2 linked regions of the Caenorhabditis elegans genome follow. The protein of the gene in region 2 interacts with the protein of the main gene of each other region in a biochemical or structural test. Each region holds a gene or a part of one and is shown on either strand. Other genes may lie near its edges.

What was found.
Region 1: of the proteins of oma-1 (region 2) and mbk-2, one has a biochemical effect on the other in vitro, tested with the Caenorhabditis elegans proteins (3 studies listed by BioGRID).

The regions. Positions count from the first base shown.
Region 1 is NC_003282.8:13,005,126-13,013,268, forward strand, and holds the start of mbk-2 (Dual specificity tyrosine-phosphorylation-regulated kinase mbk-2), read left to right. Parts: upstream 1-4,032; coding exon 4,033-4,104; intron 4,105-4,334; coding exon 4,335-4,390; intron 4,391-4,511; exon of another isoform or gene 4,512-4,532; intron 4,533-8,143. UniProt on the Caenorhabditis elegans protein: Required for oocyte-to-zygote transition in which it phosphorylates oocyte proteins, including mei-1, oma-1, oma-2, mex-5, and mex-6, modifying their activity and/or stability following meiosis.
Region 2 is NC_003282.8:8,884,819-8,892,592, reverse strand, and holds oma-1 (CCCH-type zinc finger protein oma-1), read right to left. Parts: upstream 3,618-7,774; 5' UTR 3,508-3,617; coding exon 3,470-3,507; intron 3,422-3,469; coding exon 3,254-3,421; intron 3,208-3,253; coding exon 2,977-3,207; intron 2,935-2,976; coding exon 2,787-2,934; intron 2,743-2,786; coding exon 2,511-2,742; intron 2,468-2,510; coding exon 2,061-2,467; 3' UTR 1,594-2,060; downstream 1-1,593. Other genes in the region: spr-2 (Suppressor of presenilin-2), read right to left, coding at 55-297, 347-547, 621-1,118; C09G9.5 (MARVEL domain-containing protein), read right to left, coding at 4,138-4,240, 4,295-4,394, 4,507-4,638, 4,690-4,797, 5,308-5,433, 5,993-6,023. UniProt on the Caenorhabditis elegans protein: Zinc-finger RNA-binding protein that binds to 5'-UA[AU]-3' motifs in the 3'-UTR of maternal mRNAs to suppress translation in oocytes and embryos.

The DNA of each region.
Region 1 (8,143 bases), 4.1 Mb from region 2:
CAGTTCCGATTTGTTGCTTCTTTTGAAATTCTTTTTTTTTTGTAGAATTTCTGAACTTTTGAATTCACTGGAGTCTAGAAGCAGTCTGGGAAATCCACTGAGCAAAGTTAGAGAATTTTTTGCTTCAGCTAGATTCTGTGGGCATTTTTGTAGCGGTAGGCAGTAGGCAGTAGGCAGTAGGCAGTAGGCAGTAGGCAGTAGGCAGTGCAGTAGGCAGTGTTGATAGAAAAAATTATACTTTTTATAGGTAAATTTTTTGTTATGCTGAATTTTCACTGATTCTTGTTAAAAACTTGGAAACTTTATCAGACATTTTTTGAGGACTATTACAATTCCATTAGGCTTCTCCCATTCTCCTCTGCATTTTCTCAATTCTTTACCGATTAACTCATGCTCGGTCGACTCCGCCCCTCTTTCTCTATTCATAAATTCTTTTTGCCACTCGACCTTCAGTTTTTTTTGTTGTTGGATGATTCGCTTCTCATCCTCCACTTTTCTTCCGTATTCCACCCGTCAATTCCTTATTGTTTAGTTTAATATCTCTTGACAATCACTTTTTTTTGCTTTCAGAATATGTCGAGGATCGAACACTGGAACAACTTCATTCATTGTAACATTCTCCTTTTTTGACTAATTCCTTAAAGGGAAGCCGCGCCAAACATACTGATGGCGGCTGCTCTTTTCCTAATCATTTCCCCTTCCACAATATTTGCTCAGTTCATCCGAAAATTGGCATTTTGGACGAAAATTTGAGATTACGGTATTGGTTCTAAACATAATGATATTTATGTTTAAAATGTTTGATATTGAAATTCAGATACTATAAAAATTTAGGAAAATGTTTAGGCGTGCATACCTGCCTACGCATCTGCCTTGGTATACATCCAGTTTACATTTTCTATGTAAACAAAAAATTTCTCGTGCACTTTTACAGTTTTCGCGCATGTATGCAGGAGGTAGGCATAGGTTGCCTTAAAGGCTTAGTAGGCAGACAGTCGTTTTCACCTGAAAGAGTCAGGTGAAAAGATCTCAGTCTAGATCTCACCACAATTTTGAATTCTCCCATTTGTACTCCCTAGGTTTTGAATATGTTATAGTATGGGAAAAGTGACTCACTCATATGAAATTTTCGCATAACTTTTGGAACTTTCTTTCTGGAAATGCAAATATAGTTTTTAAACTCTGAAATAATGTGGACGTTTCAAAATGTGGAAGTTTTCTTTCGAAACTTATCAAAAGTCAAAAAATTTTTGAATTATGTTTGGAAACTCTTACTTAACTTACTAACATATAGCTGTAACGTTTTTTATAATCTCAAAATAATGATATTTTAAGATCTAAAATCTGACATTTGAAAAAAAAATCTAAACAAATAGCATTTTGTAAGCTATGCAATTTAGAAATTTTTTGAGCGATCAACTAAGCTCCCGGGCTTCAAAATTGTCGGTGAAGAGTGAAATAATTTTAAAACTTTCAATTCCAATTTCTATTACCTACATGTTTCTGTCTTCACTAAGACACCCATTCCGGTGTTCTCTTACCATGCTAATAAATAAATCACGCACCGTCCGAATGGCCCTTCCCGTCCGTAAATGCCGTGCCATTGGTTCCGCCCGTCTTTACCTAGATATTCCATCAGATACAAACACTCTCATTCATTCGATTATAATCGTCGATACCAGTCATTTTTGTACCCCCTTTTCTCTTGTCTCTTCCCCTCACTCACCCTGCTCAAACACGCCCAATTTACTATGACCCCGAATGCACTTTTTTCTTCTTCTTCTTGTTCTATACCATTCTTTCACTCTGAGGGAATACGCCTTCGCCCCGCCGAACCACCCTTCATCACATATCCCTATGAATCTTTCACACTTTTCTCTTCTTTCTCGCTCATCCATTTGCTTTTTTTCTTTGAATTTCTAATTACCAGGCTGCTGTTTTTTCTTTGGTTTTTGGTTTTACACGTGATAGAATTTAAGGTTTTCAGGCGTTCTTGTCTAGTGATTTATAGGCCGTAGGCTCGATACAGTCAAATATGCCTACCTGCCTCGAGTTAATTTCATTTTTCTAATAGGAAACACATTTTAAAGGTTATTTAAGTGAAACATAAAATAAACTTACGCAGTCATCCATGTGTTAATAAAAAATACGGCCTACATTCCTGCCTTGTTGTACGCTGGGGGTAGGTACGAGTCATTCGTTGGCAGGCAAATATGCCTACTTACCTCGGACCAACTCAATTTTGAAAATTGGAGAAAAAATTTTAAACACTTACGTGAAAGGTTAAACCGGTTTAGGCAGGGTAAAACCGGTTTAGGCTTTGTTAGGCTTGTGTTAAGGCTTGGGTTTAGGCTTGTGTTTAGGATTGGATTCAGGCTTGGGTTTAGTTTTTTTGTGCTTGCCTACCACATATTTAGTTAATTTTAGCAGAAGCTCTGGTTTTCATTTAGGCTTGCTTTTGCCAAGCAAATATGCCAATTTTCCTCGAGTCTACATACTATGCTAATTGGAAAATTTTTCAAAAAGTAACTTTGCGTGAAACCCAAAATAAACTTACACGGTCATCCACGTGGTATGAAATAAAAATAAATTGCCTTTGTTCAATTATTTTATTACTTTCAATTCTTCTCACTTTTTGCACATTTCGTTAACCGTCTCACAATCAGGAATCCAATGCCAGATAAGTTATTTGTACACAATTAAGCTTCAATAAGAGAGAATTCTCAGGTTTAATCTTAGGCTAGGGTTTAGGTTGCTATAGGATTTTAGATTTGCTATGGGCTTAAGCTTTTGTTTATGATTGGTGTTAGGCTAAGGTTCAAGATAGGGTTGGATTTAGGCTTGAGGCTTGGGGTTAGGCTTGGGTTTAAGTTTGGGTTTAGGCTTGGGTTTAAGCTTGGGTTTAGGCTTGGGTTTAGGCTTGGGTTTAGGCTTGGGTTTAGGCTTGGGTTTAGGTTCAGGTTTAGGCTCAGGTTTAGGCTCAGGTTTAGCCTCAGGTTTAGGCTTGGGCTTAACTTTGAGTTTAGACTTGGGTTTAAGTTTGAGTTTAGGCTTGGGTTTGGGCTTGGGTTTAGGCTTGGGTTTAGGCTTGAGCTTATCCATTCTTGGTCCCTATCCTCTATGCCTTCCCTAACTTCTATTTTTTAAATTTCAGCCTGTTTATTTCTAGACTCCCCTTTTTAATATTTCCTGCCGCTGATCATATGATATCCATATTTTTGCATTTTATATCAGACATCAAAAACTATTAGCATTAAGTTTTCATAAGGCATGCTTTGAAAACATTTGGAATGCGCAAAGATTATGGGAAGAAAGTTTTGGAAAAGTTCAGAAATTTCCCTTACAAGGGGAAGTTGAAAAAAAACCATTTTGGTCGGTGCCAGCTGATGCTCCTCTCGTGACTCTTGATAAGCCAATTGTTAGTCGTAAAAATGGGGAGAAGAACTTTAAAAGTGCGTAAATATCTAGTTATCTCGTTTTCTTATCACTGTTGTCATTGTGCATCTAACGTATTTCGGTTCACTAATAATAAGTTTCACGCTATTTTGTTTTTATATTATATTGTATTTTCAAAGCAAGTTCACTAAAAAGTTTTGCTCCATGCGTTCCAAGCATCCACTGCCTGCCTATCAATTTATCATCGTTCTCCACCCCGTTAGGTGTACCATTCAAAAAACGTTTGTTGCTCCGTACTCTATGTCTCCAATTCCCATATGCTCTTCCACAAACCCGCAACACAACACAAGTTTCTGCAAAAAAAAAATTTGGTGGATTCCTCCTAGAGAGTAAAAGAGAAACAGGGGGAGAAAAACGGACTCTTCCAACATCATTTGCCCCTTTTTCTTATCTGCTCCAACTTGTCCCCACGTTCGGTGAGGTGTTTCTCCCATTGATAACAAAATGTATTTGATCCGATTACCCTCTACTCGTCGTCAACTCTCTTATTACCCCCTACCACAAATTGTATTAAAAAGTACAAAAAATTTTTAGGAATTCTCTCCCAAACTTGCAGCAGTCTAGAGTAGTTGAAGCATGGCTGCTCTTGCCTCGTTCACACGTAACAGTCGAAGTTACGGGCAACAACCGATTGATGTTACACAACAGGTGGGTGTGCTATACCTCTATTAGTAGTGCATGTAATTATAGTTTCAAATTGAAATGGAGTTTGAAAATTTTTAAATTTCTCCTCTGAAAAAGTAAAGATATTGACTTTTTTCTGAACTTTTGTGTGATTTCTTAAATGTTCATTTTTGATATTACTAGTTATTATAGTTCTACTAGGATTATAAAATTCTAAACAAATTGCTCCTAAAATTCAAAAAAAATCATTTCAGGGTCAGCGAGATCGCAGTGTAATGAGTCTGGATGCACAAGGAAGATCAGTTTCACAGTGAGCTTTTGATTCTTTTTCTCTTCAAATTTTTTCTTCAATTTTCCCACTAAACGTATGTAGTTTAAAATATTGCAATTTCGAATTACTTTGAAGTTCTTAAGGAAATTTCTAGAAATATTCAAAAGTCGTGCCTGCAGCAGACGGTCATTTATTTTCCTTGAAAGCCCCCCCCCATTGACCACCATATGGATCCCATTAAACTTTACACCCTGTGGGGTCCTTGAGAAAACTTTTTGATGTTTTTTGTCCATTTATGCTTAACCTGATTAGTTGAAAAGCTGGTGTAAAGGGCCTAATTAGTTGGAAATTGGAACATGTTTTGAAAATCACAATGTATTATTGTAATAGAAATCTAAAGGCGGAACAAGGAAAAAAATCAATGAAAATTGAGATCGAGAACCCTTCTCATTCAATGAAGAGGTGTTTTCTTTTCAATAAAAAGGAGGAGTGGGGGGAGTATTTGTCATCAAGAGTACCCAAGAATGGTATACCAGCGATTTCACAATTAGATTCACAGTCAATCATTTCTTTTTTGATTCAGACCTGTTTGATTTTGCAATTTTAATCAGGATTCAATACATTTTTGTTAAAAATTTTGTTTTTCTCCCACTTTAATAGTTTCAAAACATTCATTTTCTGAAAACAGCTGTTTTAGAATACCTTGAAGCTTACATACTCTAAAACAAAACAGTTAGACCTAAGCTAACGTAGTTTATTGGCATTGGCGTTTGAGTAAGGCGGCCCCGTTGTCTAGTCACAATAGAAAGGGAGTAATGTAAATTGTTAAATTGTTGGTAGGTATATCCTTATGCCTGCCTGCCTGCCTACTGTTTGCTGATTTCCTTTATTTTAAGTTGAACTCTGGCCTTTAGTGTTCACCTCATGTAAGTTTACGCATATTTTATAGTAGACGTAGAGGTCGGTATTTTTTTGGTTAAAAAAAATTTTAAAAAAATCAAATCACTTCCTCAGCCACTTGCAATTTTAAGCGACTTTTCAGTAGAAACTTATGCTTCAATTGAACAATTTTTCAAATCCTATCTCTCGTCGATTTCTCACAATTTTGAATGTAACAACATTTTAAACGAGACACACAAAGTGTAAAAATGCTCAAAGAGTCAATCAGTGTTCCCTTGGCCTTTTTCTCCCTTTACCCTCTCTTCGAAGAAAAATGATAGGAAAATATCCGGGAAGGGAGAATTTAGTTGCACGTCATGATGTTCTCATCAGAAGTTTTTTCCTCCACTTTTTGAAAATGGAACTTTAATGACTCCTTTTGTGCTTGCCCCCTTAACCCTATCCAATTTCAAGACGTTTTCTGATTGTTCTTCGAAGTACGATTTCAATGTGTGTGAGAAGAGGAAAAATGAGATAGATTGTACTTGAAAGTAGACAATTTACAGAAAACGAACATTTTATGGTTTCTTGAAAACAGGTTGATTTTAGAGATTTTTAAGTGTCAAGAGATTTGTTCACTTGAACGAAATAATTATGGAACTTTTTGATCTTGTTAGATTTAGTTAAAAGAAAAATTCGCAAGCCTAAGAGCAAATGTGCAAAAATTTTATTTTGTTCGTTGTGATACAAATGTTGCAGAAAACTATTTTTCCTGAATTTCCATACATCAAGAAATTGACCAAGAAAGGGTTTTTCTACAAATTTTCAGTTTTAATTTTTTTAAACATTGTGAAGGTTCTGTTTGAAAAATTCAAAGTTTGCAAAAAATTTTGCCAATTCGCCAAACCTTGTGCTGAAGTTTTCAGAAAACTACGATATTTTTTTCCAAAAAAAAGCGTTCCTCACAAAAGTACCGTATCAAATGTTGGTCATCAAAAATCCGCACCGAATCTTTCCGATCTTTGTCTCTCTGTATCACTTGTGTTAGTCTTCAGTCCCGCTTTCCCCACCCTCCCCCAGATAAGGTTCTCGCGTTCCCCTATCTATCCCCACACACACACATTTTTATTTTAATTACAAGTACTAATTCGGTAGTGTTTTCTGTTTTCTTTACCTGTATGGTGGAGACTAGGAGGACCTTGCGGTCGGGAAAATGAGGCATCGTAATCAAACCAACCGAGGCAACACACACGCCGGGCCATGATGGAAACAACTCGTAAAAAACCCGTCTTTTCTATTCTTCATCGTTCTTCGCCTCTCTCACAGGGATTCCCTTTTTCATTAGTCGTTAGGAGAGGCTTTCCATACCTTTTATGATTGTATACAGTGATCTACAGATTCTTGAGATGTATGTACAATTTTTTTTTGTTTTTGATCTACCTGGTCAACTCGCAACGATCCTCCGCTAGCTGGCTTTGTGTGTTGTTTAGCACTTTCTGTAGTTTTAGAAATTACTTCCTATTGTGAATGACCAAATTTCCAGTTTTTCAGTAAAAATAAATACTTGTCCTATTTATTGCCAAAATGGTTGGAGCTGTAAAAACATACAGTTTTTGCAATTTTTTTTTTGGCTTTTCTCCGAGATGTCACAGTTTGCAATTTTTAAACTACGGTTTTATAATAGTTGTAAATCAAAAAGTTTACTGTAATTTTTTTTAATTCTCAGTTTTAATTATTAGTTTTTGACTTACTAACAAATTTCGGAGAAATTTTTTTTGATCCGAAACGATCTAACTTTTTCAAATTAAAATTTTTAATATTTGCAAAAATTAGTTCTACAAAACAACTACAAACCTGCTTGATTCTGAAATTTCAGCCAAGTTTAGCACTTTTGATCAAATTGCATAAGCTTATAAGTCCTCCTCCTCCTCCTTCTCGAGAGCCCCAAAACTCTTACAAAGCTGTGAGATTTGTACTTAATACTACACAATAATCGCCTGTAAATGTAGTTTCCAACACAAATTCTATCTCCTCTTTTATCGCTCCCTGCCTTCATTCATTCCTTCATTTTCTTCTGGAAAGAGGCGGCTCTTCCTCGCGCGCGCAAAAGCAGGGCTCATTCCTCTTTGCAAATATGAAGAATTCGCTGACTGATTCGAATATTTCTAAGAAAAATTTCAAAAAACTTCCAAGTCTTCCTGATGTTTCGAGGTGAGGTTTTGCATATAGTAAAAGTCGTTGAATTTTATTTAAAAATAGTTAAAAAGTTAAAAAGTTAGTAAGTTTAGTTAAAAATTTAAGTATCTGGAAAACTGGCAGGCTTTCAAATATAATTCCCATAGAGATTGTGAATATTTTTTTGAATTTGTGAACGAAAAGTTTACAGTGGGAATTCCGCCCAGCCAAGGCGTCACGGAGACGCTTCTCATTCGCCTCTTCGCCCTCCCCTCACATTTCCGACGGCATTATGAGCAATTTGTCACATTTGTTGTATTGAATTCAGCGTTGCACAAAATTACAATTCTTTCTAATTTTTAAACCGGAATTTTTAGGCCCCTCGTTTCGTTAAGCCTTGATATTTTTTTGCCATTCGAATCACTTGACAGGCAGGTGCTCGAATTAAGGAACGGCGCCAAACCACATATTTCTAATCAGAACATCTGTAGTCTGAACGATTATATTACACTTGGTCAGGGAAAGATTTTTGATAATTTTTTTGTTTCACTGCAAAATAAGTTAACATACGAGGGCGGGGCGACATGTCTCGGGGTCTGAAAACGCCTCCATATACCCGGAAATGCCTCCCCTCGTCTTATGTCCTTCGTTCAAAACTGCCGGTAGGACCCGATGCTCCCCAATCTTCGGGATTTCTACTTTGTAAAAAATATTTTTCGAACTTCTACCATTATCCCT
Region 2 (7,774 bases):
ATAACACACGGTGGGAATAATAAATTAGTATGCAACAAATTTCAGCTTCACAAGCTACTCTGCAGTGTTCTCGGGGTTGACTGCAACGTGTGCTTCAACATTCTCATCACCACCTTCTTCTTCAATTGCTCCATCCTCTTCTTCTTCTTCACCCTCCGCTTCTTCTTCAACACCATCTTCTTCTTCTTCTCCCATATCTTCCTCTTCTTCATCCTCTCCTTCTTGCCCATCCGCACTTTCATCTTGATCAACCTTCAGTGAATCACTTATGTTCCGACGAGGAATCCTTTGTCCATTCTGAAAATTGTTCAAAAATCCAGTAGCCTCATAATGGTGTTTCTAATACCTCATCTACACCGCGCTCCTCATTCAGAAAGTCTTCGATATCGTCTTCTTCAACTTCCTGCATGTCGGGCATCACGTAGTACTGCAAAGGATTGACGTACAGATCGTCTTTGATCACTTCAGCAATCTCATCACTGTCTGGTAGTGCTGCGTACGTGAGCCATTCAAGAAACGTGTGAGCTGAATCTCCGTCTTCCGGCTTCTGGAAGAGTTACATTGCGAAAGTTTTAGAAAAAATTCGATTAAAACAATAGGGATTATAAAGATAAACTCACGAATGGCGGTTTCTTGTTCTCCTTCCACTCGATTTCGGTAATTTCGGTGCTCGGTGACTCAGATTGCAGATGATACGACTTTGTAATTACTTCGTTTGTGAAGTACTCATTCGGGTCAAATGTCATAATTATTTTGAATCCACTGCGAAGATCTTCAAATTCTTGCACTTCAAGATCTCGCAGAGCGGCTAACAAGTCCTCTTGTTCTTCCGGAATAGCAGTTGAAAGAAGATGATGATTGAGAAAAGCAGTCTGCCAGAAATTGTCGATTTTTGTTGTCAGCTTCTTTCTTTTTTCATAAATCGGAAGACGTTTCTGATTGAAAATCTGCTCGACTTTCAAAACTTCTTCGGCAGCGTTTTCACTCATCACATCTAGTTGGTGCTGAATGGCGTCTAGTTCGATTAGCTTTTCCTTCACGGGACCAGCTACTTCGGATCGGAGATTTGGGAACTCATCGGCATTTTTCATTCGCTTTGCAGCCGGCTCTTCGCTCATATTTTAACTGAAAAAATTGAAGATTAACGGCAAAGAGAGCTTGTTTAGTAGAACAACAAAAGGCAGGGCGAGTTTGTAAAGCAAGTGTTCAACAGAATAAGCGCAAACGCACTGAAAATGCGCAAATAGTGTTGACTGGCGCATATTTTGAATAGAGCCTAGACACTTTTGATTTAATCAAGTGATTGATCAAGCTTACCCACAATTAACAGTTTTATAAATATCGACAATTTATGACCTAGTCAAGAACGCGAAGCTTAAAATTTAAAAAAATAAATGTATTATTATCGGTTAAACGGTTGGGAAAAAACTAATTAACATGCATGCATATAAAGTCTTTAAAACCGTAATGTTCTCATATTGAGAACAAAGCTAACTTGAATTGCAATATTATTTTGCTTTTTCATGGTACGTACTTAGATAGTTTTCGTGTTGGAACATATAACCTGATTTTCAATAAATTTGAAAATTGAATCGATCAAAAAAATTTACTACATCCTGCAATGAGGATCAAGAAGGAAATTTCGGATAAAAATTTTAAATGAACAAAGAAACGAAAGAAAAATACGTACGGGCAGTATCGGAGCCATTGAGAAGAAAGAAAGATAGAAAAAAAGAATCACAATTATGATCCGTGGCAGGTGCAATTTATTTTGAGATTGGGGAAGGGATTAGTGAGACAGAAGGCAATCGGGAACTCGAGCGGTGAAAATTGGAATACATTCAATGATTCGATGAATTACAATATACATCACAAGATTCGATATTAATTTCGAGAATTTAAAATGGGAATGGGCGCTTTTGACGATTGGGCCAAGTTTCTATGGGACAAGAACACGTCGACTAAAACTTATTATATTCACAAATGCACGCATTATTAGTTAGTATGGGGGACACGAATATTGAAAGTGTTTAAAAATTTGACAAATGTAGAGAAGTTGTTCACCACAAATTGAGATGCTTGGTCATATTTTCGGCCAATTGATCGAATCCTGGCATTGGAGAGAATGGTCCGTTACATGACATCATTGGATCAGTTGCGACAGATTTCATCAGAAGAGATTGAGCAACAGCAGAATTTGCGAAATATGCAGCAGCGGCAGCTGCGGATGCTGCATTGAGTGACGAAGAACTGAGATCCTGAGAAGGCGTGGATCCAGCAGATGAATATCCAGAAACTCCTCCAGGAGTATTTTGCTTTCCGAGCATTCCGAACGAGCCAGCATTTGGAGCGGAACCCAAAACCATCGAATCGAGTGGACTAGCTGGCCGATGTGCCATATTCCAAGCGTCTAGAGCAAACATCGATGGATCCAATGGCCAGCGAGACGGTGGATAGGTCATCGCACCTAAAACAGAGGTCATTAATTGCAACTAGCTGCCAATTTTTACCTTCCGCGTCATGCAATTCCTTCGTTGGTAGCTCATATCTTGGACCACGAGTACTAACAGGAGTTGGTCCTAGTGGCAATTTAGCCGCTGGCTCATCTGGAGTTGATGGCCTGGCAAACATTTCTAAAGGATGCTGAATGGCAGAAAGCGGGGGAGCTGCAATGCGACCATTAGTCATGATGTGCTGCTCCATTTGATCACGAATGTCAGCCAATGCATGGCGTTGAGAAACCTGAAAATGTTTACAGTGAGCAAAAATACATGTTTTCTTCTGACTTCAAGAAGTTTATCAGCGCGAATGTATGCGTTTGGTCCATGATCGGGATGAATGAAAAGGCACCGTTTCCCGTATGGGCAGAGTCCTGTAGTCGTATATTTGTCACAGAGTTTCGTTTTATACTTATTGTTCTGCAGCGGCTCGACGCTAAAAATTGGAATTAACATAATTTGTTTGCTTCATTCTTACAATGTTGGACGAAGTTCCTCCTCTCCATGTGCAAACCGGCAGTTGTCTGCGAAAGAACAAGTCTTAGATTCGAGCCAAGCTTGGCAGATCACAGTCTTGTATGATTCTGGTTTCTGCATTCGGGCTAATCCGCGGCGTCTAGGATCAAACTGTTGAAATGGAGGTGCAACCTGGTTGTTCTGGGGAAAACTCTGAATCGCGCGAACTTGCATCGATTGAATATGTTGGTTGCTGAAATGTAGTAAATTGAAGATATTCAGGAAATTAGCCAACGCACAATGCAATATCTTCAAGCAACTGCTTTTTGATAGCAATCAAGTTAGCAGTTTGAGTAACCAAATCTCCAATCTGGGCATTCGGATTAGTTTGAGACAAGTCCTTAGCGTGATCGAGTGGTGAAACGGGCAAAGTTGGAACGCCAGCGAGGGAGCTCTCGAGATGATGCCTTTAATAACATAAAATTACTTTTTCATTTGAATTTTGTTAAACTCACTCATCGATCTTCTCGTTGTTTTCACCGTTAACGTTCATATTGATGCAGTTGAGTGGATGTGAATAGTGTAAGTAATCGGGTGCAGGGAATGCTTAACAATCAACACCGGAGATACTCGATTTCCGGAAGATGTTGCGAGCTGTAAGTTCTGAAAAAGAAAATCAAATGATCCTACTGAAAAACAAAAACACGTTACATAAAACAATACTTGAGTGCGAACAAAACAGATACGAATGGCATTTATGAGAAAATATCACATTTTGGCGCCGGTGCACAATAAAAAAGTTTAAAAAAAAGTTTTTAATATAAATATGTCAGAATTTCCGGCCGAAAAGTAATATTTGAAACAAGGAATACTCAAGAAAAGCCTGAAAAATGGTTCCTTCATATTACGCGGGGGCATAAACTACGGTCGCACTGTTTTCACGTGTGCGATTTAAAATGATGTGCGTCTTTTAGGAGTACTGTAGGCCAAAAGTTTTCACGCCTATAACTGCTTGTAGTGAACTGATATGTTATTATAATCAAACAATTTATGCACTAATTTAAGTTAAAAAAAAACATATTTATTTTTTACAATCAAAAAATTATAGCGACAAACCCGTGTGAAAAATCAGGAATCTTTAAAAAAAATGAATGGTTGAAAATATCAATTAGAAACTTCAAGTTCATCTTCGATTGAAAAGGTACAACCTTCGAACATCAATATACGTCCAAATATACGAATAGATGAAGAATATTTCAAATGCACCAAATACCAGCAATGCAACTCTGAAATTGATAAAATAGTATACCCTAGGTTTCCTTTTTTTTTCAAAATCCCACCTTAATAAAATAATATCAACAATTTTATAACTCCGATCTTGTCCATTAACCTCTTCTCTAATTTCATCAGGAACTGTGATTGTCGATCCGATTACCGCTCCTGTAATCTCTCTTTTTCCAATTAAAAACTGTCAAATTTGGTCGTCCGGTTCACAATCTCTCAATATTTGCGAAACTGATTAAAACCACACCGAAAAAAAAACTTCGCTCACCAGCATATGCAAAAAACAGAATCGTATTCAAAACCATATATGGTAGTAAAAATTTGGGTCTCGCACGGAAAACTGCCATAATAAACATTAAACTGAAGGTGAGGATCATGGTGATAAGTATGGAGCAGATTACTGAAAAATCCATATTTCTAAATAATTCAGATTAAATTTATTTAACTGTACCAATAAATTCAACATAATTCTTCGGTGTTTTTTGAATCAATCTTATTAATCCATAAACGTAAAATGCAAATAAGAAAATTGCATTGAAACTGATTCCAAATATTGCAACTGAAAACATATTTTTTAATATAAATTTTTCATCGACTCCCTTAACATTCTTGTTACCCTGTTTTTTATAAATAAATAATCCATCGAAAAAAATAGCCTTGTTATTTATTTTGTGATCAGTATTTTTAGGTTTGATAACACTTGTAAAACAAACAAAACAAAAATGTAAACAATTTTATAATGATTCTCATGTTATTTTTGTTTTCAATTTTTCTATTATTAAGAGATAAGCTTTAATGTGTCAAAAATCAAATAAAAAAGAGAGAAATAATGCCTGCCTGCCTTCACCTCGCGCGCCTTCTGTACACGCAAACGTTGTTTCTTTCATTTGTTAATTTAACTTTCATCAAATAAGATGATAAAATAAAGATAATTGTGTAAATTAACACTGTGAGAACAAAATAAGTACATAAGATATGAAAAAGTAGGCAGGCATAGGTAGGCGTGTGGGAACCTAGAAAATAATCCCACTTTCTCTCGAATTAATTAATAAAAACTTCTCAAACTAACTTTTATGAACACCAAAATATCCACAAAGCTTCGTTGGTTTAGGCGCTGTTGGCATTGAAAAATAATTTTGATCCGTTGATAATTTATCAGAAATTGTAGACATTGTGATGAAAGTGTTGGAAACTTCTGCAAATTTCAGGAATTGAATAAAAAAAATAAATAGGAGGCTACAAATCACTGTATTTGTTTCAATGATTATGATACGAACCTATTTAAGTGAATTTTTTTGAACTTTTGCGGAAAAGGGAAATGGTCTGATAATGCATATTTTTGTGGTGATAATTTTGAAGAAACTTTGATCGGTAACATTTTTTGCATAGATGAAAGTCGAAGAACAAGAACAATTCTCAATATAAATTTAAGTGGGAAATCTTTAAAGCACAGGAAACCTGGGAGCAAAAAAGTGAAGAAATGGCAATATATGCATATTTTGATAATTTCATGTATACACTATGATAGACAATTTAAATTTGAATTAGAAAAGTTCGTGACTATAGTTACTGACTTTTCTATACTGCGCTAAAGTTTCCAAGTGGACTCTCCACGATTTCGCTCTACTTTTCTGCTTCTTACTAATATAACTGATCAGAAAGTCTTTAAAAAATAATTCAAACTTGTATTCAAACTCTTTCTCGTTTTACAGATTTTTTTATAATTTTGAGACAATCAAAGGATAAAGACAAACCTTTCTTTTTAAGATCCCGTTTTGTTTTCATAATTTCAGATAGAATTGTTTACGAAAACAGGATGAAGATTATCTGAAAAATTACATTATATTCAAAAAAAGAAAATTAACTAAGTAAGACAAAGTATTTTAGTAACCAAGAAAAACTTTTTCACGAACAAAACAAATGGCAGCTGTCTGAGATAATCGGTGAAACAAAATCTCTCAAATATTGGCTAATCTTAAAATTACTACTGGAAAGTATGTCAAACTACTTTTTCCAAATGAAACCTCTTTCAGTCAAAAAAGGAGGAGCCACATGTCCATTTTTACCATTAAATGTTTGCGTATCGAAAACTTAATCGGCCCGAACCGAGACACTATGAGGTCAACATGTGATGATGAGAGAGAGAGAGTATGGATCAAGGTATTATATAGAAAAAATACTGAAAGAATGCGGGGAAAATGAGTCATGATAAATACTAAAATAAGTTAAATATCGTTTTGAAAATATCAAGAGTTCTAGAGGAATAAAGTAAATTGAAAAATTCATAGTATAGTTTTCAAAAGATAAATTCCTAACATTGAAAAAACTTAAATTTTTCAAAAATCCGAAATTTGATCTTTAATTTCAAAATACTTCGTAACAACCCATGCCTTTAATTAATAAAAGCTTGGCAGATGCGACATCTTAAATTTTTTTAAATTTTGCGTTTTTGCTTGAATTATTCGTTTTTGAAAGCAATACAATTTTAAAATGTTAAAAAAAATCATTAAAAGAACCCAAAAACGCATAACATTTTCCTGATAAAGTTTATTTTCAAAAAAAAATTATATAAACTTTTTCATTTTCTCGTAACTTTTTGAACTAATACCATTTGAACTCTTCATGATCTTCAAAAAGTCTTCACTCATTTTTTTTCTCATCTGTGCCGTCCCCAATTTTCCTGCTCTATTTATTTTCGTCAATCCCAAAATCAAATCAAACCAAAATCAATCAACGAGAGTACAAATAGATGGACAAGATGGTTACGGAATCGAAAAATGAGAGAAAATATATAAAAGAAATGCTCGGATATTGCGCATTTTTTTGTGGGAAAAATGAATTCTAATCACATGAAACTTGAGAAAATATGAAAAAGTATAAGAAGTATAAGAATTTTGAATGATATCACTTATTTATAAAGTTGTTGTTTCAAATGTGTATTTTCAATCAACTGTTAATCAAAAAATAATCAAAAATTACTAACTGATAAAATATTGATATTTCTAAAATGAATTGGTATAAATATATGATTCCAACGTTAACATTTGGATTATTGAAAATATGGGATAAATTGGCCTCTCAAGTAGTAAAATGTTTTTTTAAATTTAAAAAATGGTTGATTATTTCTTCATTCAAAAATAAAAATTACTGAAAGTAAAAGTTTCAAAAACCATAGCAACAAAAAATCAAGTCATGCAAATAATGAAAATATCAACGAAATTCTTTAATTTCCACTTGAAACAGTAAATTGAATAGAAATTTCTCTGAACATGTTTTATGATATTTAAGTGGCTAATTTTATAAAATGGATGTATCATGAAGCAGATTAAAAATATCATACCGAAATGATTGGCTTGCGAAAAAAGTGAGTTCCTGACCTATTTCGGTTTGAAAGGCATTTTCTTCGAAAAATGTTTGCTCTGGAGTGATTATCTTGCTCTGTTTACATATCAGTGTTCACCATAGTGAGAAAAATGAAATGAAGTGTATATTGGACATATTATAACGAAACTTTTGAATAGGTTTTTTCAGATAAA